Linked DNA regions of Saccharomyces cerevisiae S288C. Changing the gene in region 2 together with the main gene of any one other region gives a genetic interaction. Each region holds a gene or a part of one and is shown on either strand. Other genes may lie near its edges.

Region 1 (4,712 bases), on a different chromosome or scaffold from region 2:
AGTGGGAGCCGCCGGGAATGACATCGAGATGGTAGTTCTGTAGAGTTTTCTGCAAAAACAGCTGATTTTGCGGAGGACACCAGTTGGAGCGCGCGCCCACAATGTGGATAGTCCGCTTCCTCACAAACTTCACATTGCTGATCAGGAAAGGCGCAAAAGTCTGCATGTTCATGTAGCAGAGGAGATTTTGAGCCTGCTCCATCTTCGTGCGAACGGGTCCACCATCTTCATCGTCTCCAGAGGCTTTTGTCCTCTCAAAATCGATGATGTTTTGCAGGATTTGGCTGTGCGCATTGGTAAAAAAGGAACCGTTCCTCATATATTTTACATATTCGGACTCGTTAGCGAAATGGTCGCACGTCTTTAAACGTAGGGAGTTATAAAGATTTTCTGGGATCTGCGGAGAATCGGGCGGAAGCCCTGGCCTCCCGGCGCCGATGGCTTTCCGTGTGATTACTACAGGCTCGATCAAGATGAGCAAATGAAACAGATTGGGCTGCAGGACGTCACACGCAAGAGCCTGGAACCCGCCCATCGAGTGGCCGATGACTACGTTTAGTGCCGGGTGGCTGTCAATACTGCCCAACTCGCATGTGGCAATCTTGAGCACGTCGCGGGCCCCGTCGATCCAGTTGAAATTGGTGCCGAGTCTGCCGCGGTTGCGTACCGCAGAATCACCGTGGTTAACCTGGTCGATCAACAAAACCTTGTCGATGGCATAATTGCCCTCCGCATCGGCGGCTACCAGACGCGGCAAATAGTACTCCCATACCACCTTACTCATGCCGCTGCCGTGCAAAAACACAAGGTTAAGCCTAGTGGCAGTGCGAGAGCGGCGTTGCCGCTCTGCGCTAGTGTACACATCGTATGTGAGCTCGAGGCGATCTGTCGCACACAGCGTCGACTGCGGTGCGCGCGGCCAGCTAGCGCTACAAGTTTTCGTTTCTTTCTTGAACCTGTTCTGTTCCATTTTAGCCGCGGATGTTGATCGGCGGATACGCAGAGATAAGCAGAGTACGCACTAGTGAGCTTTTTTAGCACGCACATTACGCACTTTATATATATGCTAAAGGGTGCAGCAGCGGGCGCGGCTGCACTAACTCCGAGATTGCGGAGAAAAAACTCGTACTACCACATTAAGACGTCTCCACTTCGGTATCCGACTCGGGCTCCGTTTCGTCCGTGGGTTCTCCAGCAGATGTCGCCGGCACGGGTCGGTGTTGTTGCTTCTTGGTAGGCGACGACAATAGCATCAGTGTTTCGACAGCCGTGGCCTCCTCCCGTGGTGGGTGGCCTCCGAGCGCCTGAAGAAACGCTGTATGCGCGGAAGTACCCGCGTCTGCACTATCTGGAAATCTGTTGTGATAGCGACGTGGCGGCGTCTGCACTGCTGGAGCAAGCTCCGTCTCCAGCTCGGGAAGTGTCTTGTCCGTCCATCCATTTTGCAGCTTGACTAACGCGTAATTGAGCCTGGTGCGCAAAGTATGTGATATTTCGCGGATGGGCCGCTCGCCCGTAGACCGACGCGCAGCCGTCGGAGGTGACCTCAAACGCGGCGACGGCGACAGAAACACCTCCGACCGTCTTGACTTGGGCGTTGTCGGTGGCAACAAAGGCATACTAACGTGTCCGTCGTACTTCTTTTGATTTTCATTTTCTTCTTCATTTTCGTCGTCCTCACTCTCACTTTCGTGTCCGTCGTCGTTATGGTCATATACACGTCCATGTGCGGTTATGCCGACACGACGCTTATTGACGGGCGACATGAATATACCCTGAAGACTCGTTGTCGACGGCCTTCTTCTCGATTTAGTGATGCTTTTCGTTATGCCTGGTGGTGACGGCGGCGATGGTGTTCCAAAGCCATTTTTGAGACGTACTGGCGTGCTCAATAGAGTGGTTGGCCCAGGTCGCTGCTGATGCTCGTTGTTTACATGTGTATCTGGGTTCTGTACCTGCTCTTGTTCTTGTTCTTGTTCTTGTTCATCGCTAGTCCTGCTTCTCTTCGGCGTTCTCAAACTCATATTCTTCAATGTCTCTACTATTTTTCGTTGCTATTAATATCTGGTTGTGCTTTCTTCCATCAGGTTCTTTGCCTTGTTTTGCCTTTGTTTTGTTTTGTTTTGTTTTGTTTTTTTTATTTTTTTCGTTCTGCTCTTGAAGTTTTCGCTTCCCTTTTCCCCCTTCCCTTTAGCACCAGAAGTCATGAAACAATTAGTAAATCAAGAATTATCATTAAGGCAGCGCGAGGAATTATATAAAACAAAAAAAAATAAAAAAATAAAAAAAAAAAAAAATAAAATTCGAAAACAATAGGAGACAAAAGACATCATAAACAGCACAAGGAAGACGGTTCTGTTTCGTTGCTATGTCTAATACCTTGCCAGTAACAGAATTTCTTTTATCCAAATACTACGAACTTTCCAACACTCCTGCCACAGACTCATCATCGCTCTTCAAATGGTTATACCACAAGACTCTCTCCCGTAAACAGCTGCTCATATCCGATTTGTCTTCCCAGAAAAAACACGCCATCTCCTACGATCAATGGAATGACATAGCGTCGCGATTAGACGACTTAACGGGACTTTCCGAATGGAAAACAATCGACGAGTCCTCGTTGTATAACTATAAGCTGCTGCAAGACTTGACCATCCGTATGCGCCATTTGAGAACCACTCACGACTACCACCGCCTGCTTTATCTGATTAGAACTAAGTGGGTCCGTAATCTTGGCAACATGAATAACGTTAATCTTTACAGGCACTCGCATACCGGCACAAAACAAATTATACATGACTACCTAGAAGAGTCTCAAGCAGTGCTCACCGCGCTGATCCATCAGTCAAATATGAACGATCACTATCTCCTCGGTATTTTGCAACAGACGAGAAGAAACATAGGGCGCACGGCTCTCGTGCTTAGCGGTGGGAGCACTTTCGGCCTTTTCCACATTGGTGTTCTTGCCGCCCTTTTTGAATCGGACCTGATGCCTAAGGTGATCAGCGGTAGCAGTGCTGGCGCCATTGTTGCCAGCATATTTTGCGTCCACACGACCCAGGAAATTCCCTCCTTGTTGACCAATGTACTTAATATGGAGTTTAACATCTTCAATGACGACAATTCCAAATCTCCCAACGAAAACTTACTAATCAAGATATCGAGGTTCTGCCAAAACGGTACCTGGTTCAATAATCAACCTTTGATTAACACAATGCTTTCGTTTTTAGGAAACTTGACCTTTAGGGAAGCCTACAACAAGACTGGAAAAATCCTGAATATCACAGTCTCGCCTGCTTCCATATACGAACAGCCGAAACTACTAAACAATTTAACCGCTCCAAACGTTCTCATCTGGTCTGCCGTATGCGCATCTTGTTCTCTACCTGGAGTTTTCCCCTCCACGCCGCTATTCGAGAAAGATCCTCACACTGGAAAGATTAAAGAGTGGGGGGCAACAAATTTACATTTATCAAACATGAAATTCATGGACGGATCTGTAGATAATGACATGCCCATTTCTCGTCTTTCTGAAATGTTCAATGTCGACCACATTATCGCCTGCCAGGTAAATATACATGTCTTTCCCCTGTTAAAGTTTTCAAACACTTGCGTTGGGGGTGAAATTGAAAAGGAAATTACCGCCCGTTTCAGAAACCAAGTAACAAAGATCTTCAAATTTTTTTCCGACGAAACTATTCATTTTTTAGACATCCTAAAGGAGCTTGAGTTCCATCCCTATTTGATGACCAAATTGAAACACCTTTTTTTACAACAATACTCTGGCAATGTCACAATTTTACCCGATCTATCAATGGTTGGTCAATTCCACGAAGTATTGAAGAACCCATCTCAACTTTTCCTATTGCACCAAACTACTTTAGGTGCAAGAGCTACTTGGCCGAAAATTTCCATGATTCAAAATAACTGTGGCCAAGAATTCGCCTTGGATAAGGCCATCACATTCCTAAAGGAGAAAATAATAATCTCTTCGTCAATAAAAAACCCTTTACAATTCTACCAACCTCGATTCAGTGAGCAAATCAAATCTCTTTCCATAATGGATGCTGACTTGCCGGGAGTTGACTTGGAAGAATCCTCCTCCAATTCACTATCAATTATCAAGTCTCCCAACAAAACAGCGGCACCGGGAAGATTTCCTCTTCAGCCATTGCCTTCTCCATCTTCTACCTTCAACAAGAGGAAAATGGATATGTTATCGCCTTCTCCATCGCCTTCTACATCTCCACAACGTTCAAAATCTTCATTCACGCAGCAGGGTACAAGGCAGAAGGCAAATTCTTTATCGTTTGCCATCGGTGCATCTAGTTTACGGCTAAAGAAATCACCATTGAAGGTTCCATCACGACCTCAATTCAAAAAAAGATCTTCTTATTATAATCAAAATATGTCGGCAGAGATGAGGAAAAATAGAAAAAAATCTGGAACAATTTCCTCTTATGATGTTCAAACAAACTCAGAAGATTTTCCCATACCGGCTATTGAAAACGGTTCATTTGATAACACTTTATTCAATCCAAGCAGGTTCCCCATGGACGCTATGTCGGCTGCCACAAACGACAATTTCATGAACAATTCAGACATTTTTCAAAATTGAAATGAAAGACAATAAGTACATTTTTATATAAAAAGCTTTCTATATTCTCACCTCCATCAACTCCAAAAGGTACATGCCATTTTGTTATATTAAA
Region 2 (5,788 bases):
GTTAATAGCTTGTTGCCTCTCACCGTTCACATCTTGTGCCACAGCCAATGATGTCCAGTTGGCACGGTAACCAAGGAATGCTTCCCAATATTTTTTCCTGGACACTAAAGCATTTTTGAAATCGCCAATTTGTGATTGCAAAGTTGCTAAGTCTCTATATATTTGCTTGTTAGTGGACCCATTGTTCAAAGCTGCCGTGAACCATTTAATAGATTCTTTGTACTCTTTGGTGTTTCTCATGTAGATACCTAATACATGACAGCAGATTGGTGATGCTGAAGCGCCTTCAATTTTTCTGATGGCATTAGCCACGTAGGAAGCAGCGTCATCTTTCTCACCTACAGAATATAAATCAAGACCCTTTAAAGCCAAGGAATCAACGTGACTACCGTCTTTTTTCAAAATTGCGTCTAGCAGCTTGAGAGATTTTTTGTATTGCTTCCCTTCGTATAGTTTCAATGCCTCGAGGAACTGGTCATTTTCTTTTTTCAAAGCTATTTTAGCTGCTGGCTTGGGCTTAGTACTTCTTTTCCTAGACATACTTCGTTAGGGTCAATCGCCTTCCTCAATGGTATTTGTCTTAAACAAGGAATCTGAACATCACTTTTTAAAAAGGTTTGACTTTTGAGTGTAGAAACTTTTTCATTTTCGCTCTTTCCTCTTTACTCTGTATTATGTTCTGTTTCGACGCGGAGCAGGGTAAAAAGTGCATACGCAACCCAGCGACCTCATTAGCAAGGTCATGCAATTTGGTGGCACATTTCAGGCCTATCATGTCTCCAGTTGTACAATAATGAAAATTTAGCAGTATTCCCCCTTTAAAAGATTAAATAGCGATTATATAATCAACTCAAAGAGTTTCCTTAGCAGTCCTCTCTCAATTTTGAATTGTCGAATGTCATGGCGTTCTCGAAGCACTTTGCATACTTCAAGGAGTGGACAGAAAGAGTCTGATAATAATAATTTTTTATTGAATCCGAAGATATTCTATAATCAAATTTAACTATTATTCTATGTAAAATCTATAATTGGTTTATATGGTATACGAACGAGAATGGCGTAGGGACATGAAAGATGGTAGAATGACTAAATGAAAGCTAGAGGAAGAGCGGCAGCGAGCCACACCAATTTTCCTACTGCTTCAATGTTTGCGCTGCCTTCCATGATTAATGAAATGCTGGCAGATGATGTAATGGCTCCTGTTGATACAGCAGCAATGGAATGCTTTGATGTGATAAATGCGTTAGTAGTGGTGGTCGTGAAGGAATTTGTATAATGAATGGCACTGGATTGACTAGAATAATCTTTAGTTGAGGTACCAGAAACACTTTCTAGAGAGGCAGCTGCAGAAATATTGTCCTCAATACTGTGATTCATTACGGAAGCAGTTGATTGAACGTTACTTATAGTAGACGTTGATGCAGGAGAAGTCATAAATGCAGATTGTTTGGTGATGGTAGTGTCTTTGGGACCCGAGTAATTTGGGTTCCCAACCTCAGACTGAATGTTAATGTTTGAAGTTACTAGTGTTGTATGGCGAGTCGAGTCAGTAACTCTACTGACAATATCGGTGACGCTTGCGTGAGCTGATGCATAAGTTCTATCTAATGTGATTGGATGAGCTGAGGAAGATGAGCCGACTAAACCATTTTCACTGGCTAGAGTCGTTGGGTCTGCTGAAGTTATGCTAGGATATGAAGATTTAGTTGATTGGAATGCGTCAACTACAGAAACAGAACTTTGGGTCTTCGAATCATTGCTGCTAACTGGCATATTAGGCTTGATTATACTTGTTGCGCTTGACCTACTCGAGGAAGCCGAATCAACTGGGGTTAAAGTTACAATCGAAGAACTTGAAGTGGCCGAAATTCCTTGCTGTCTAGAAAGGCTTAGACTTTCCGACGCAATTGGAATGCCCGTGGAAGTTGATCCGGTCGAAGCTGTTGGATATACTGGGCTATTCGAGACAGCGAAAGTGCTTGGGTCTACTTGAGATCTTTGAATGGATGAGACGCTCAAATCAGCTGAACCAGTTGAGGAAACCATATCAGTTAGACTAGATGATACTGTTTGGGTATCTTGGCTGGTTGAAGTGGTTGAAACCCTTAGAATGATTGTGTCAGAGAAAGTAGCTAGATCTGTTGAAGTAGTTGGACCACTTGGTCTGGTTGAATAAACTGAGGTTGAACTGACAATAAAACTGGTTGGTTCAGATGAAGTTGAACTAACTACAGAACTAGCTGGATCAATTGAGGCGCTACTGATGATAGTAGTTGCACCGCTTGAACTAACGATGGAGCTAACTGGATCAATTGAAGTAGTTTGAGCCGCTAAAGTAGCTGAACCGTTTGAATTAGCAGAAATAGTCACAGTGCTTGAGCTAGTTGGGTAAGATGAAGTTAAACTGACAACAGAACTAGCCGGATCAACTGGAGCGGAACTGACTACAGAACTAGTTGGATCAACTGAAGTAGTTTGAACGGTCGAGGTAGTTGAGTCAGCTGAAGTAGTTGGGTCTGCTGAAGTTGAACTGATAACAGAAGTGGTTGGGTCAACTGAAGTAGCAACGTCACTTGAGCTAGTTTGATCAACTGAGGTTGAAATGACTACAGAAGTAGTTGGGTCAACTAAAGTAGTCACAGCGCTTGAACTAGTTGGATCTGCTGAAGTAGCCACGTCACTTGAGCTAGTTGGATCTGTTGATGTGGTTACCTCGTCAGAGCTTCTTGTACGATACATACCAGCAACACTTGATGAGGCATGTGGACCAACTGTTGTAGTAGACTCAATTAAAGATGTAGAGTCCGTGGAAGTGGAAATCACGACAGAGATATTTAGACTTGTTGAAGTAGTAATATCGTTTGAACTGACGAGAGAAGTAGTTGGTTCAATTGAAGTGGTTTGAACGGTTGAAGTAATCACATCGCTCGAGCTAGTTGGGTCAATTGAAGTGGAACTAACTGCAAAAGTAGTGGAATTGGCCAAAGTGGAATTGCCGATGTTGTTACTTGGACCAGCTGAAGTGGTTTGAACGGTCGAGGTAGTTGAGTCAGCTGAAGTAGTTGGGTCTGCTGAAGTTGAACTGATAACAGAAGTAGTTGGGTCAACTGAAGTAGCAACGTCACTTGAGCTAGTTAGATCTGTTGATGTGGTTACCTCGTCAGAGCTTCTTGTACGATACATAGCCGCTAAACTTGATGAGGCGTGTGGATCATCCGATGTAGTATACTCAATTGAAGATGTAGAGTCTGTGGAAGTAGAAATGGTAACAGAGCTACTTGGATCAGCTGGGCTAGTTTGAACGGCCGAAGTAGTTGAATCAGCTGGAGTAGTTGGGTTAATTGAAGTAGTCACAGCATTTGAACTAGTTGGGTCTGCTGAACTTGAACTGATAACAGAGCTACTTAGATCAGCTGAACTTGAACTGACTACGGAAGTAGTTGGATCAGCTGAAGTAGTTTGAACGGTCGAGGTAGTTGGGTCAGCTGAAGTAGTTGGGTCAACTGAAGTAGTTGGATCAACTGAAGTAGAACTGACTATAGAACTAGTTGGGTCAACTGAAGTAGTTGGATCAACAGAAGTAGTTTGAACGGTCGAGGTAGTTGGATCAGCTGAAGTATTTGGGTCAACTGAAGTAGTTGGGTCAACTGAAGTAGTCACAGCGCTTGAACTAGTTGGGTCTTCTGAACTTGAACTTACTACTTAAGTGGTTGGATCAACAGAAGTAGTTTGAATGGTTGAACTGGTTACATCGCTTGAACTACTAGAGTCACTTGAAGTGAAACTGCTGAAAGGACTAGTTGAAGCTGCTAATGTGGTGACATCAGTAGATGTTCTTGAACGATAAATATCGGCTACGCTTGATGAAGTATGTGAGTCAACGGAAGTAGTAAAATCAATGGATGTAGTGGAAGAGCTTTTCACAGTAGATGACGTAGTAGTGGAAGTTTTCGTAGAGGATGAAGTAGTAGAGGATGAAGTAGTAGAGGATGAAGTAGTAGAGGATGAAGTAGTAGAGGATGAAGTAGTAGAGGATGAAGTAGTAGAGGATGAAGTAGTAGAGGATGAAGTAGTAGAGGATGAAGTAGTAGAGGATGAAGTAGTAGAGGATGAAGTAGTAGAGGATGAAGTAGTAGTGGATGAAGTAGTAGTGGATGAAGTAGTAGTGGATGAAGTAGTAATGGATGAAGTAGTAATGGATGAAGACGAGGCTTTTGTACAAGTGCCATCATTGTTTCCCTTGCACTGGTAGGTCCAATAAAATCCAGGGAAATCCGTTTGTGAGTGGCCTTGATTGTCATAATTGTTACAACCTGTCGATAAATCGAAGGTGGTTGTCCCCCATTGCCAAGTTTGCCAGTACTGAGCAGCATCACCTTGTAGATATTCGAACTGGATTTGGAAATTTGGCATCCAAACTGTGCAACCGTCAGAAGAAGGGTAAGCATAAACCTGAAAAGTGGATGTAAAATCTGTTGGATCACTGATTAGGTATGTCTTCTCATTTTTGCCGTAAAGTTGTACGGTGCTTGAGGGACCGTTGACACCAATAATCTTTAAAGACCATAAATATTTCAAAGGGATATCTTTTACGGCTTTGACATGAATAGTAATCTGGTATGTGTTATCCTTGACCCATGATACGGAAGTAACATCCATATCATAATGTAGTATATTCTGTTGGCTCATGTGCCAGTTGAAATCCAAATTTGGACAACCATTGATAGCAACGCTTTCGTCTCTTTTGCTTAGATCAAATGAAGGGCTCACCTTGTCATCAATTCTATCAGCAGTCGCTGAATTTGTGAGCAAGGCCGCAAATAGGAGGCAAAATGATATTAGTAGTTTTCTTATGAATGATGTGGATACCTATTTTACACTTTTGCAACAAGGGGAGGAAAATTGCCAAGACCATCATGACATTGGAGGAAGTGATTTGCTTCTCTTAAATATAAAATAATTAAACGATCATGGAGATGCAGCGAACTAATGTGAAAAATTTTTCTTTCCAGTAGTATCGGTTATTCTGTAAGCATAGAATCGGGTATTAGTGGCTTGTTCCGAGCTTTTTTTCTTTGCCAATAAGAAAACAAGTAAAATGCAACGTGCAAATGCTGATCTGATCTCGCCTGGGCCAGTTTTATCGTCATGTGCGCGTGTAGGCACGAAAAAAAAGAAAAGACCGCTACCTCTCCTTCTAAAATGACAGGAGGAGAATATAAGGTTTGGCAGCCCCTTGAAAGAGCCGCAGGAACCAAAAAAAAAAGAAGGAAAGTTTATTTTTTTCTTTTTCCAAAAGACTTTTTAAGATGTTTGTCAGCAAGATAATACAGGACCTACACGACTATCAGTCACAGCCAGAGAAACGTTTGTCGTATGATGGCAAAATATTTTTCCCACAACTTTGAAATTATTTTCAAATATGGCAGAACAGTTTAACATTTGGTTTCAAGAGGTAGCACAAGTTCTTGAATAGTATTTGTTCGCGTTAAGATGGAAGCAGGCCAAATGCCCCAATAATCTAATAACCGTATTTTCTATGCTAAAGGAGGAACGAACACTCGGTCTTGTACAGGCAGCTCTAAAAGGAAAATTTCCATCCCCCCAGGCCAAGAAAATCAGAATCATATGGCCCCCTTCCATTCTAACGGAATAGTATATCAAAGAAATAATGTTTACGTAAGCCATAGACAAGCGATATAATCTTTTTTATCCTTAAACTAGGTGCTTCATTAAGAAAGAAGAAGAAAAGAAGAAAGTACGACAAAGACTCCCCGCTGGACAATAA
Region 3 (5,507 bases), on a different chromosome or scaffold from region 2:
GAATTCTTTGTCGGATGTGGAACAAACTGGTTTGGGGGTTTGCCCTTCAGTACTTGTGTTTGCTGAGCTAAACGGATCATAGGATCAGATTTGCAAGATAGAAAAGCAATTAGAGTAAGAAATATCAAGCTAATCACACGTTTTTAAAACCTCGATCCAACTATAGAACGTACTGTATTCAAGAAAAAAAACTGAGAGAAGAATGAAAGGAAAAGGGTTTCTATAGATATAACCAATGCGATATGTAACTTCAGTGCTGAACGACAAAGTTTCTTTATTGCCTTATTTTGACTTTCTTCGAGATGTCCATGGCATAACTTGAGCAAGGTTGAAAAAATTTTCTTTTCTTTTTTTCTCCGAAAGAAACCCGTTTCTTTTGGTGCACACACAAAGCTCGTGCAGAGTGCTGTCCTCTGAGAAATTACCGCAGAATCAGAGGATCTATGAAATTGCCTCTCTTGTACGAGCAGTTCACTGCAGGCACTCGTCCCTTCACACGGAAAAACAATATGGGAAAAGTTGCCTGAAAGTTTAAGCTTTTTTACATATTATCAAGGCAAGAAAAGAAGAGAAATTTTTCGAGAAAATGAACAACGAAGCAAACAATATGAAGAGGACTGCTGCTATTTTTCCAGTTAGGTACCATGTGGCATGCTGTTTTTCCGCAGTTCGTTATGTAAGGTGGAAGGCGGTGGTGTGTGAGACATGCCCTGTGAGACATTGGAAACTCATGCGTACAGAAAGTGAAACTAGCTCAATTGGTTGAGTTTTTTGATGGTATACGCCTGATGTTTTTTTCGACAACAGGTGAGTGAAATAAAACGAAGAGCAAAAAAAGAAGAAGAAATTTAAGAAAAAAAAAAAAAAAAAGGGAAGAAAAACGGAGCTACCCAATATCGGAAGATTCGTAAAGGCCGCCATATACACAATAGGGGCCCTTCGTTATATGTGCTCGAGCCTCTGGATATCGACCAGAATGAGCAGACGCCTACGAAACTGGTCAAGGCTTCAAGTAAAATTGCTGGAATCTGTTAACACTTTTAAAAGAACACAGTTCTTGACTTACTTTTGGTCTATGCATAGGTATTATATAATACGAGGTAGTAAAATGAGAAAAAAAGAAAAAAAAAGTCAATTGAGTATGGGCATGAAGTTACCCAAGATCATGAGGGGCAAACCAGAGACATCTCTTTTTAATGTCCACATACAGCAACAATGAATTATCTTGCCCTTGATGGGGCTTAAGAGCCTGCAAACTTTCATCTTCTCAGATCCTCTGAAGTCCCTATATGCAACTTTAGAGAGCGTTTTGAAGTAATCGCGTACACTTTCATCGTCCATGATCTCTACGATAAAAGTCATCTTGTTTAGTAGCTCCTCTCTTGTCCATCCGCATAGAATTTCAAATTCCTCGTTGACATAAGAAATTTGACCATTTCTTCGCCAAATACATGTCGGGGTACCGATTTGTGCAATAAATTTTACATATTCTAATAGAGTTCTTTGGTAGCATTGCTCCATAAAAATCATGTCCTCCTCGGTTAAAGTTACAGAACACGCAATGAAAATGGGCCGGAATTCGGCAATGGACCGACACATCTTCACCAGATCCTGCTGGTTGAATCGATGCTTTAGGTACACCAAAAGATGGTGGAATCCAGGTGTATGCGAAAAGGGGGCATTTATGGAGGTGTATATTTCCATTGGAGTAGAATAACGTAATGAATGTTCCCATTCTACATTGCTCTTGATGTTGGCAGCGTCTGGTGAACAGCTTTCCAGGGATACAGAGACCAAATGGTTTTTCCTCCGCTTTAAGGGGATAGCCAACTCGGGAAATGTTACCGTTTCGCTGTTCAAGTAATATTGGTTTATGCTTGAGTCCCAATTAATTTGGGAGCTCTTTTCAGATGGGTCCCGTGGCAATAATCTTTTAAAGTTTAAGGAATTATCAGCTGAATCAACGGGCACTAAGGGGAAATGGTTCGCGAAAAGATTAACTTGCGAAGCTACAATCTTGGCTGAATTTGGTCCCAGTAGAATAGAATAAACGTTTTGATTGGAAGATGGATACGGATGTGGGGGTATGTTTGCTCGCTGTTCGCTGTACAACTGGCGAATTTTCTCCATTTCTGTTTCTTCAGGGCTTGTATTTGTGCCCGTAGGGCTATTGTTACTGCTATTGCCTATTGTGGAGTTGGATGTGGAATTGGTGTTGGAGTACAGGATGTCAATAGGGATCTTGTTAGACAATGTGTCTTGATAGATGATATTCGACAGAATAGAGTACTCGGAATCTGCAGCATTCGATAGGAATTTAGCTTTGTGAACTATATGTTGTGGGCTGGTGAATTTTTGCTGTTCTCCCATGTTATTTACGTTGAGGCTACTATTGCTGGAGTTGTTATAAATGGGTATCATGATCTTGCGGGGTGGAAGGTCCGGTTGTATGTTCATTGGGAGCTCTCTATTCGGTATTCCAGCCAAGTACTTGCTTTTCTTTCTTGGAGCGTCAACGCATGTAGCCGTGAGGCCCTTGCTGATACATCGTAAGCATGGCCTTTTGGCCTCACATGACACATGCAATCTCGAACAGTTCACGCATGCCACGTTTGTGTTTTTTCTCTTTTTTCTCTTCTTTTTTTCGAGAGTATGATTTGTATTTGCAGATGTATCTGGGTCAGTTGATGTTTTGTAATCGTTTTCATCTGGAGTGCACATCACGATGATTCATCAATGTATTTTATTTTTATACCTTCGTGTGTCTGTTGTACCCAAAAGAAATGATAAAAATAGCTCAAGAGTATCCTGACTTTATATAACTAGCAATTTTATCTAAGAGAGTAATGCCGTTGCACCGGCTCTTGTTTAGTTTTTTTATGTGGTTACTCTTTTACAATATACTAAAATTGCAACTCATTTGCTTTTTTCATTTCTTTTCCTTCAATTTTTTTTTTTTTTTAGTCTACGGCTAACAAAAAGCATAGGCTCAGAATGATAGATAGATATCCGATAAATGTCAGTAAAGACAAAGAAATCAGTAAAATAAACGTTTCACCCTGGCAGATAGGAAACCCTATCTCCCAGTGATAAACTTTAATTTTTTTTCGTGCATATATATATATACATATATAATATAAAACAAAATATCATGAATTTCTATCTAAAGTAGTGGGAAAAAATATGTCGTTAAAAATGGGTATAATATCCAAGCAAAGCTTTTGGCTTTTTTTTTCTTGAAATGAGTGAAGGGAAGGCTCAATAAGCCTAGTCCTGCATGGCATATACATCCTTGTAAAATTGTTGATTACACTTCAGTTGTAGCTGCCAGTACCGCAGTTGGGAACATGAAAGTGTGGTATCTTGACATGAGCAAAGTTGTTGCAATATTGTATCTTTCCAACTATTCACTAGGCGCTCCGTGACCAAGACATGTAACTCCGACGTAAGCTCGTCCTGGTAGGGATCCTCGAATAAGTCGGCATTCCCTAGCAATCCATTACAATGGTACAGGACGTCTAAATCTTGTGTATTGTTTATGATAAAGTTGACCAGCGGATACATCGAAAATCTCAATAGCTTTTGCTGGAGAAACCACACTCTTAGAAGCTTTGTCAAGTTGGGGCAGGTATATCCATGAATGATGACCAGCATTGTTATAGCTATGGATTGCCAATCGACACAACTCCAACGAGCGATGCACTCTTTGAACAGGCACGAGGCCATATTGATGTCCGGGTCGTCAATTATTTTCCCAAGGAAGCGTATGAATTCCGTGGTCAACGAGTTCCTCATCTTATTGATGAACCACGTCGTGTATTCTTGTCGGTTCAATATCATGTTCCCGTAGCAATTAAACCATAGGATCCCGAAAATTTTGCCTTGGATAATATCGATCAAAGAGGTGCTGTCTTCTGGCGGCGATGACAGCGCTGCAGTAGTGGTTTCCTCTGCTGACGACATCGAATGACCCGGCGACGGCAGCTGATCTGTAAGAGCAGAGGTAACTGCAGCCGGATTGGCCCTGAAAACTGAGTAAGGCCCGTGTTTGGAGCAATTGAGGTTGACCACAGATATGTCGTTTTCCACCATATTAAGCAATTCGTCCAACTTCTTGTCTATGCGCTTTTGAGTATAATCTCTATTTGTCATGCTACCAAAGACAGAGGCCACAGCGTTATTGTATATCTTCAATCTCCGTACGCTTATGGTGAATGTATTATCGTTAGGAAGCGTAGTTTCCTTACTTGCCTCGTGCACGCTGTCTTCGCAGTCACTTGTCGGGGGTGATAGTTGTCTAAAATGGGTCATTTGTTTAAACCTTGATTTTGAGATTTTCTGGCACAATGGTTTCGATTTCGATTTGCGAGCCTGTAATGAACTGATCAGTGAATGCTTGCGTACTTTGTAGATGTTCTCCTCTAACCACATAAGTCTGATATCGTAACTACAATTATCTCCATGTTTGGCACACAGTGAACAGATTGGTCTATTCTCGTCGCATCTGCGTTTCTTGAATCTGCATGCCCAGCACCCAGTAAATGTCCTCCCCTTGGTGGGGGGCACTTTGGAGGATGACGCTACTTTCTTGCTTCTCTGCTGCCTCTTACTATTGACCATTTGGTTCTAGTGCGGATATATATATAGGCTATATATATACGTGGTGAAATGAAATGAAAACGCTTTTAAAGTGTGCAGAAATTGTTATAGCTCTAACCCGTAGTATTAGTTCCCCATATAATTCCGACCGAGAAAGGTGCACCCACTTGTCATACAAATTGTACATATATATATATATATATATATATATATATATATATGTATATATTATACCTGCAAGCAATTGCACGCGAGTACTCTGCGTGAGTCAAAAGACTGTGGTAAAATGGTACCCATCTGATGCAGGAATTCCGACTCTTTCAAGCTAAATGCCGTTTCATTTTGGCACGGATGCATTCGCAGATTGGTTGGAAATCCGCATACATCAAATGCGCCAAGAGGGCTGCCATTGTATATTCCTTTTCTCGGCAGTCCTGCCGGATGCATTTATGCCGCTAAGACGCAGAACCGAATATTGGGCTCAGGAAAATATGCAGATAGACGCTCGCCCGTGAGCGACTCATGACGCGCGTGTGCTATTTTGGCCCCGGCAGTACAAGCGGTAGTCATGGTTTCCGCCACACGGATCTCATACAACAGCAATCCATTTGGTTTGCCTAGTTCCGTACATATACATAGATACTAACTAAATGAGTGCATATACTCATGTAGCCGTTCGTTACTAGAAGAAGAAGAAAATAAAAAACAGATGAATAGCTAGAAAGAAGTAAAAAATAGTTGCTTAGGTATATATGACTGGCTACAGATCAGTAGCCAGCCCAAACCTCGCTGTATGTAGTCTTGCCCTTTGTCTCGGGTACACGCTTGTACACATATGTAGCAAACATGGCAGCGATGGCGGCGAAGATCGCAAATACGTAGCCGCCCATGAGGCCGTGGCCTATCGG
Region 4 (6,035 bases), on a different chromosome or scaffold from region 2:
TGGAAACGTTGTTATGCTGTTATTTCTCCACAGTCTGGCAAAAAAAAGAAAAATTCGAAAGGTTCAATATGTTTCTATGAAAATAACAAAAAAACCAAAAAATCAAACATAATGACAACGGTAGTAGATGCACGGGCTTTATATGCCGTTTATCCTTCCTCGCCGATATTAATCGACACATCTACAATCATAAAATTGGAAGGTTTTGTCTCTTTTGACAAAAGTGAGGAACCTCAAGAAACCAACCTATTTATCATGCCTGAAAAGCATCAAGGTGTTCCGGGATATGACACTATTATTCGCTTCTTAATCCCAGCTATGAACGCGTTCTACTTATATGGTAGGCCAAAGGGTTTGATTGCCAACAGAACTGACCCAGACTCCCTGCTGTTTGCCTTACCCACTCTTCCGCATATATATTATTTGCAGGTGGATGACGTTTTATCATTAACAAAAGACAAAAATTACATACATTGGAGTGCTGCTGATTGGAGGAATAACATTGTTCAAGTATTACAGAAAAAATTAAGTAAGGGCTATAAAGGCTGTGGTAATAAAACTGTATCAGTTTCATCTGGGATGATGAAGTCGCCGGCAATTAGTTCAGCTGAATTATTTGAAGGGTACGATTCTCTCCCTGAAAGACAAATGGAAAGTCCGCAAAAATCTAAGATGAAGTCTCCTACATTAGCATCGACCGATGATATTAATTCCGCTTCTGCTTCCGTAAACTCACATGCTACCTCAGTAAAACAAACTGAATTATTTGTGACTGATAATTCTTCAAAAATCAATGACTCTGTGTCGGCGCAGTCCAGTGTCACTACTAACTTCAAAGATACTTTTACCACCCCAATGACATCAGGAATGCTCAACCATGAAAATTCAGAGAGAAGCTTTGGTTCAGGATTAAAACTCAAAATCACTGATTCAAATTTGGAAAATATGGAAGACGTTGAAGCGAAATCTGCTAACGAATTCTCTACGACACCAGAAGACAAACATATTCACCTCGCCAATGCAGCCGAATTATCCGCCCTTTACGACAAATATTCCACATCTCCGTTTGGTAAATCGGAGGCTAATTCAAGCCCTAAACCTCAAAAATTGGAAGTTAAAGATCGGTCAAAAAATGAAAACAGAAGCCCCTATGAGAGATACGTAGGTACATCCGCTGAAAGCAAGACATTTGAAATAGGTAACGTCAGAGAGTCGAAAAGTACGATAAATACTTCCCTTTCTTCGCCTTTGAGGGTAGAAGATAGTAGACGTTCAAAAAATGAGGACCTGGGATCTTTGAAAGAGTTTGAAGAGTTATCTCAAAAGATTAGCAATATGGGAATGGCAAATATTTCTTCAGAAGCTTTAAGTGACACAGCAGAAAACAGTTCTTTTGTTACGGACCTGAACTTGAATATCAATAACAGTTCATCGGTCAATCTCAATGAAGAACAACGTGTGCCGGATTTTGGGGAGGAAAACGTATTTGATCCAGATTATATGGAACAAAACCAAATGTTGGAAACAGAAAGTAGGTACACTACGGATGAGTTTGACTTTTCAGATAATCAGGATGCAGCATCCAGTAATTATAGCAATGGGCAAACCAACCGAACAGTAACTGAAACCCTTTCTGCCAGTGACAGAAATGACAAGATCCCACATTCTTCTTTATTTACAAACTTAAACCAGCTTACTTCGAATGGAGGAAACTATCAGGATAGGGAAGATTTCTCTGGTGATCAAATAAACAAACCTCAACAATCTCAACCACTTCATGTGAAAGGACCACAAACTTCGTCATTTGGTTACAGAAATTCTTCAGCCAATAGCTCGCAGCCTCAAGCACCATACCCGGTTGGTCGCCCGTTAGGTAAGATAAGAACGGGTCCGCTGACCGTCCAGCCTATGCAACAAGGTGGAAACTCATCAATGTATTCTTTCCAATCTTCGCAACATCGGTTTCATTCGTCGCAACAGCGCCAAAACCAATCACTTTCCTTCAGAAACAATACCTATGGAAGTGGTAACAATCAAAATACATTCCATCCATCGCCGCAACTGCAACAACAGCCTCAAAATATGAGATATTTGAATAATAAGTTACCAATAAATGATAGATCTCCAATACCGCAAACACAGCACCATGTACCAGATGGCCGTCCCAGCCTCCATATAAATACCACTAACCGCACAAATCCGCTTACTGCACAAAGTGGATTTTCTCAATTTATGCCTCCCAATAGCACATCAACCAACCCATATTCCAGCTGATTCATTTATATTTCATCTTTTCTTTTTTTTTTTTTTACAATTCAGTAGTTTTATATAACTTCCCATAAATGTATTATTTTTTTAATACGACTATAATATACCTCTATACCCTTATTTATCTCTTTACCTTTGCTTTTAAGCTAAACAAATCTTCATTAACAGGTATTATATTACTGGCGTCGCGTTTCGTTTAGGCGCATCGAGCCGAGACTTCAGAATCACAAATGCTTTGTATATATGTTACGTATTCAGTATTGCCCAACATGCAACTAGATTCAACTAAGCAGACGTGGGTACTTACATGAGAAGCAGATCATTGAAATTTTACTAAGTTAAAGAAGAGGAAGGGCTCCAATGATTGTAAGAATGATACGTCTTTGTAAAGGTCCAAAGTTGTTGCGAAGTCAATTCGCATCAGCAAGTGCACTATATTCAACCAAGTCATTGTTCAAACCTCCCATGTACCAAAAAGCGGAAATTAATTTGATTATTCCACATAGAAAGCACTTTTTGTTGCGGTCGATTCGATTACAATCAGACATTGCGCAAGGAAAGAAGTCCACCAAGCCCACTTTAAAGTTGTCCAATGCAAATTCAAAATCCTCGGGGTTTAAAGACATTAAACGGCTATTCGTCTTATCTAAACCGGAATCCAAGTACATTGGTCTTGCCCTCCTTTTAATCCTCATTTCAAGTTCAGTTAGTATGGCTGTACCTTCCGTTATCGGTAAATTATTAGACTTGGCTTCCGAAAGTGACGGCGAAGATGAAGAGGGCTCAAAAAGCAATAAGTTATATGGTTTTACGAAGAAGCAATTTTTCACAGCATTAGGAGCAGTATTTATAATTGGAGCAGTTGCTAATGCAAGCAGAATCATCATTTTAAAGGTCACCGGTGAGAGACTGGTCGCAAGATTAAGAACGAGAACAATGAAAGCTGCATTAGATCAAGATGCCACATTTTTAGATACTAATCGTGTCGGTGATTTGATCTCAAGATTATCATCTGATGCATCTATAGTGGCCAAATCGGTCACACAAAACGTCTCTGATGGAACAAGGGCAATTATTCAAGGGTTTGTCGGTTTTGGCATGATGAGCTTCCTCTCGTGGAAATTGACTTGCGTAATGATGATTTTAGCCCCTCCTTTAGGTGCTATGGCACTGATATATGGTAGGAAAATACGAAACCTATCAAGACAGTTACAAACCTCAGTAGGTGGGTTAACAAAAGTGGCAGAAGAGCAATTAAATGCTACTAGGACAATTCAAGCATATGGTGGTGAAAAAAACGAGGTTCGCCGCTATGCAAAAGAGGTTAGAAATGTATTTCATATTGGTCTGAAGGAAGCGGTTACTTCCGGTTTATTCTTCGGAAGTACTGGGCTAGTTGGCAACACTGCAATGCTGTCGTTATTATTGGTTGGAACAAGCATGATTCAAAGTGGTTCAATGACTGTCGGTGAATTATCTAGTTTCATGATGTATGCCGTGTATACCGGAAGTTCATTATTTGGTTTATCGAGCTTCTATTCAGAACTTATGAAAGGTGCTGGTGCGGCTGCCAGGGTTTTTGAATTAAATGACCGTAAGCCATTGATTCGTCCGACTATTGGAAAGGATCCTGTGTCATTAGCCCAAAAACCCATCGTTTTCAAAAACGTGTCATTCACTTATCCCACTCGGCCCAAACACCAGATTTTCAAGGATTTGAATATTACTATCAAGCCTGGTGAACACGTTTGCGCTGTCGGTCCATCAGGAAGCGGCAAATCAACAATTGCGTCTTTGTTGCTCAGGTACTACGATGTGAACTCAGGATCGATCGAATTTGGTGATGAAGACATCAGAAATTTCAACTTGAGGAAGTATCGAAGACTAATAGGATACGTGCAACAAGAACCACTACTTTTCAATGGGACTATTCTGGACAATATCCTCTACTGCATTCCGCCTGAAATTGCGGAGCAGGATGATCGTATTAGACGTGCTATTGGAAAAGCTAATTGCACAAAATTTTTGGCCAATTTTCCAGATGGATTGCAGACTATGGTTGGTGCTAGAGGCGCGCAATTGTCCGGTGGTCAAAAGCAAAGAATTGCATTAGCTAGAGCGTTTTTACTAGATCCTGCCGTCCTTATTTTAGATGAAGCAACCAGTGCCCTTGACTCTCAAAGTGAAGAAATAGTTGCCAAAAATCTTCAGAGACGTGTGGAAAGGGGGTTCACTACTATATCAATTGCACATAGGCTTTCGACGATCAAACACAGTACTAGGGTGATTGTGTTAGGAAAACATGGCTCAGTGGTTGAAACCGGTTCATTCCGAGATCTAATCGCCATTCCTAATAGTGAACTAAATGCGCTGCTTGCCGAACAGCAGGACGAGGAAGGAAAAGGGGGAGTGATAGATTTGGACAATAGTGTTGCCCGGGAAGTATAAGAAGTTGCCGCAGTATGGAATCACTTTTCTATGCCACAGTTATGGTATGTGTTGGAAGACAATTAATTATCGCATTATGTTTGCTGAATATGAAATTGTGTATTCTATAATTTAAATGATGCCCAATGTAATTTACACAAACAGTTTTTTTTTAAAGCTCCTTGTACGCCTTTATACACATTAAATTAATATTAGATGCACAACATACGGTACGTTTAGGAAACTCAAATTAAGCTTTATTTTTTTACTTTTTTATTATTGTTACTATTATTCTTATTATCAACATTATCGTTTTCATATCTTTCCTGAGTACAAATATGACTGAAACTTACAAAAAAAAAATTAATTATTTATTACTATTAATGATTAGATGTTACGCTTTTTTATAAAAGTGAGAGTGATACTCGGTTTAAATCATCGTCCACCCTTCATCCGTTGTTTCAGCAGGTGTCAGTTTGGTTGCATCTACATTTTCCTCTTTCTTGCGCGGAGTTTTCACTCTTGATAAAGTAACGCTTCTTGCATACTCAAGTTCGTTGTAAATTGCACTTATTGCAGTTTTAATCCCATCTTCTTTGGAAATTTTCTTCTTTATTAATCCAGCTCTATCCTTCATTATTTTGTTCGTCGTAGCTACTTTTAAAGCATCTGCTAATGTTTGAGCGTTAAGTTTCTTTAAAGCAATACCAACTCCAATGTCTTCTACTCTACCTGCATAAAAGAACTGATCACCAAAGAAAGGTTTTATAACAGTAGGTAAACCAGCACGTAATGAAGCTCCAGTAGTTCCAGAACCACCATGGTGAACGGCAGCATCGACTTGTGGGAACAACCAATCATGGGGAACGTTTCCGATATTTAAAATGTTTCTTGGAAGATCTACCTCTGTCTTCTTTGCCGCCTTATCGCCCAACCTTTCTGACCATCCCTTATTTAAAATGCAGTATACATCTGCTTCCATAACTGCTTCGACAAGAGCTTCCGTCATTTCTTTGGCATTAGAGACTACAATCGAACCAAACCCGATATAAACCAATTTTTTTCCTTTTGATCTTGCCTCAGAAATAAATTCTTGTAATTCTGCTGGCGGTTTGAAAGTACTCTTATCATCAAGAAACCAATATCCTGTAACTCTCACCCACTCGCTAAAATCAATTGATGGCGGAAAAATTGTAGGAGAAACATTGTATAAGAAAGGAACATTATTCTGCTGTAAAAGAAAAAGATTTGTTTTCCCTAAACCTAGAGTTTCAACTCTCCACTTGTTTACTTGCCCACTAATTCCCTTCCAGAAAACGTTTTCGAAAAGGACATGTGTC

Evidence for each region.
Region 1: mutations in PRM7 (region 2) and WHI5 together harm fitness more than expected from each alone (negative genetic interaction), as found in Saccharomyces cerevisiae (2 studies listed by BioGRID).
Region 3: mutations in PRM7 (region 2) and ERT1 together harm fitness more than expected from each alone (negative genetic interaction), as found in Saccharomyces cerevisiae (2 studies listed by BioGRID).
Region 4: mutations in PRM7 (region 2) and MDL1 together harm fitness more than expected from each alone (negative genetic interaction), as found in Saccharomyces cerevisiae (2 studies listed by BioGRID).

What each region holds. Positions count from the first base shown.
Region 1 is NC_001147.6:476,845-481,556, reverse strand, and holds WHI5 (transcriptional repressor WHI5), read right to left. Parts: upstream 2,025-4,712; coding exon 1,137-2,024; downstream 1-1,136. Other genes in the region: LPX1 (triglyceride lipase), read right to left, coding at 1-970; TGL5 (triacylglycerol lipase), read left to right, coding at 2,369-4,618. UniProt on the Saccharomyces cerevisiae protein: Transcriptional repressor that negatively regulates G1-specific, SBF- and MBF-dependent transcription. Binds via SBF to promoters of G1-specific genes to repress transcription in early G1.
Region 2 is NC_001136.10:380,899-386,686, forward strand, and holds PRM7 (pheromone-regulated protein PRM7), read right to left. Parts: upstream 3,184-5,788; coding exon 1,087-3,183; downstream 1-1,086. Other genes in the region: peptide alpha-N-acetyltransferase complex A subunit NAT1, read right to left, coding at 1-540; BSC1 (Bsc1p), read right to left, coding at 3,703-4,689.
Region 3 is NC_001134.8:697,223-702,729, forward strand, and holds ERT1 (Ert1p), read right to left. Parts: upstream 2,722-5,507; coding exon 1,132-2,721; downstream 1-1,131. Other genes in the region: YBR238C (uncharacterized protein), read right to left, coding at 1-80; THI2 (Thi2p), read right to left, coding at 3,268-4,620; VVS1 (Vvs1p), read right to left, coding at 5,367-5,507. UniProt on the Saccharomyces cerevisiae protein: Transcription factor which regulates nonfermentable carbon utilization. Activator of gluconeogenetic genes like PCK1. Involved in restriction of Ty1 transposition.
Region 4 is NC_001144.5:525,672-531,706, forward strand, and holds MDL1 (ATP-binding cassette permease MDL1), read left to right. Parts: upstream 1-2,628; coding exon 2,629-4,716; downstream 4,717-6,035. Other genes in the region: SKG3 (Skg3p), read left to right, coding at 1-2,274; ATG26 (sterol 3-beta-glucosyltransferase), read right to left, coding at 5,126-6,035. UniProt on the Saccharomyces cerevisiae protein: Mediates export of peptides with molecular masses of 2100 to 600 daltons generated upon proteolysis of mitochondrial inner membrane proteins.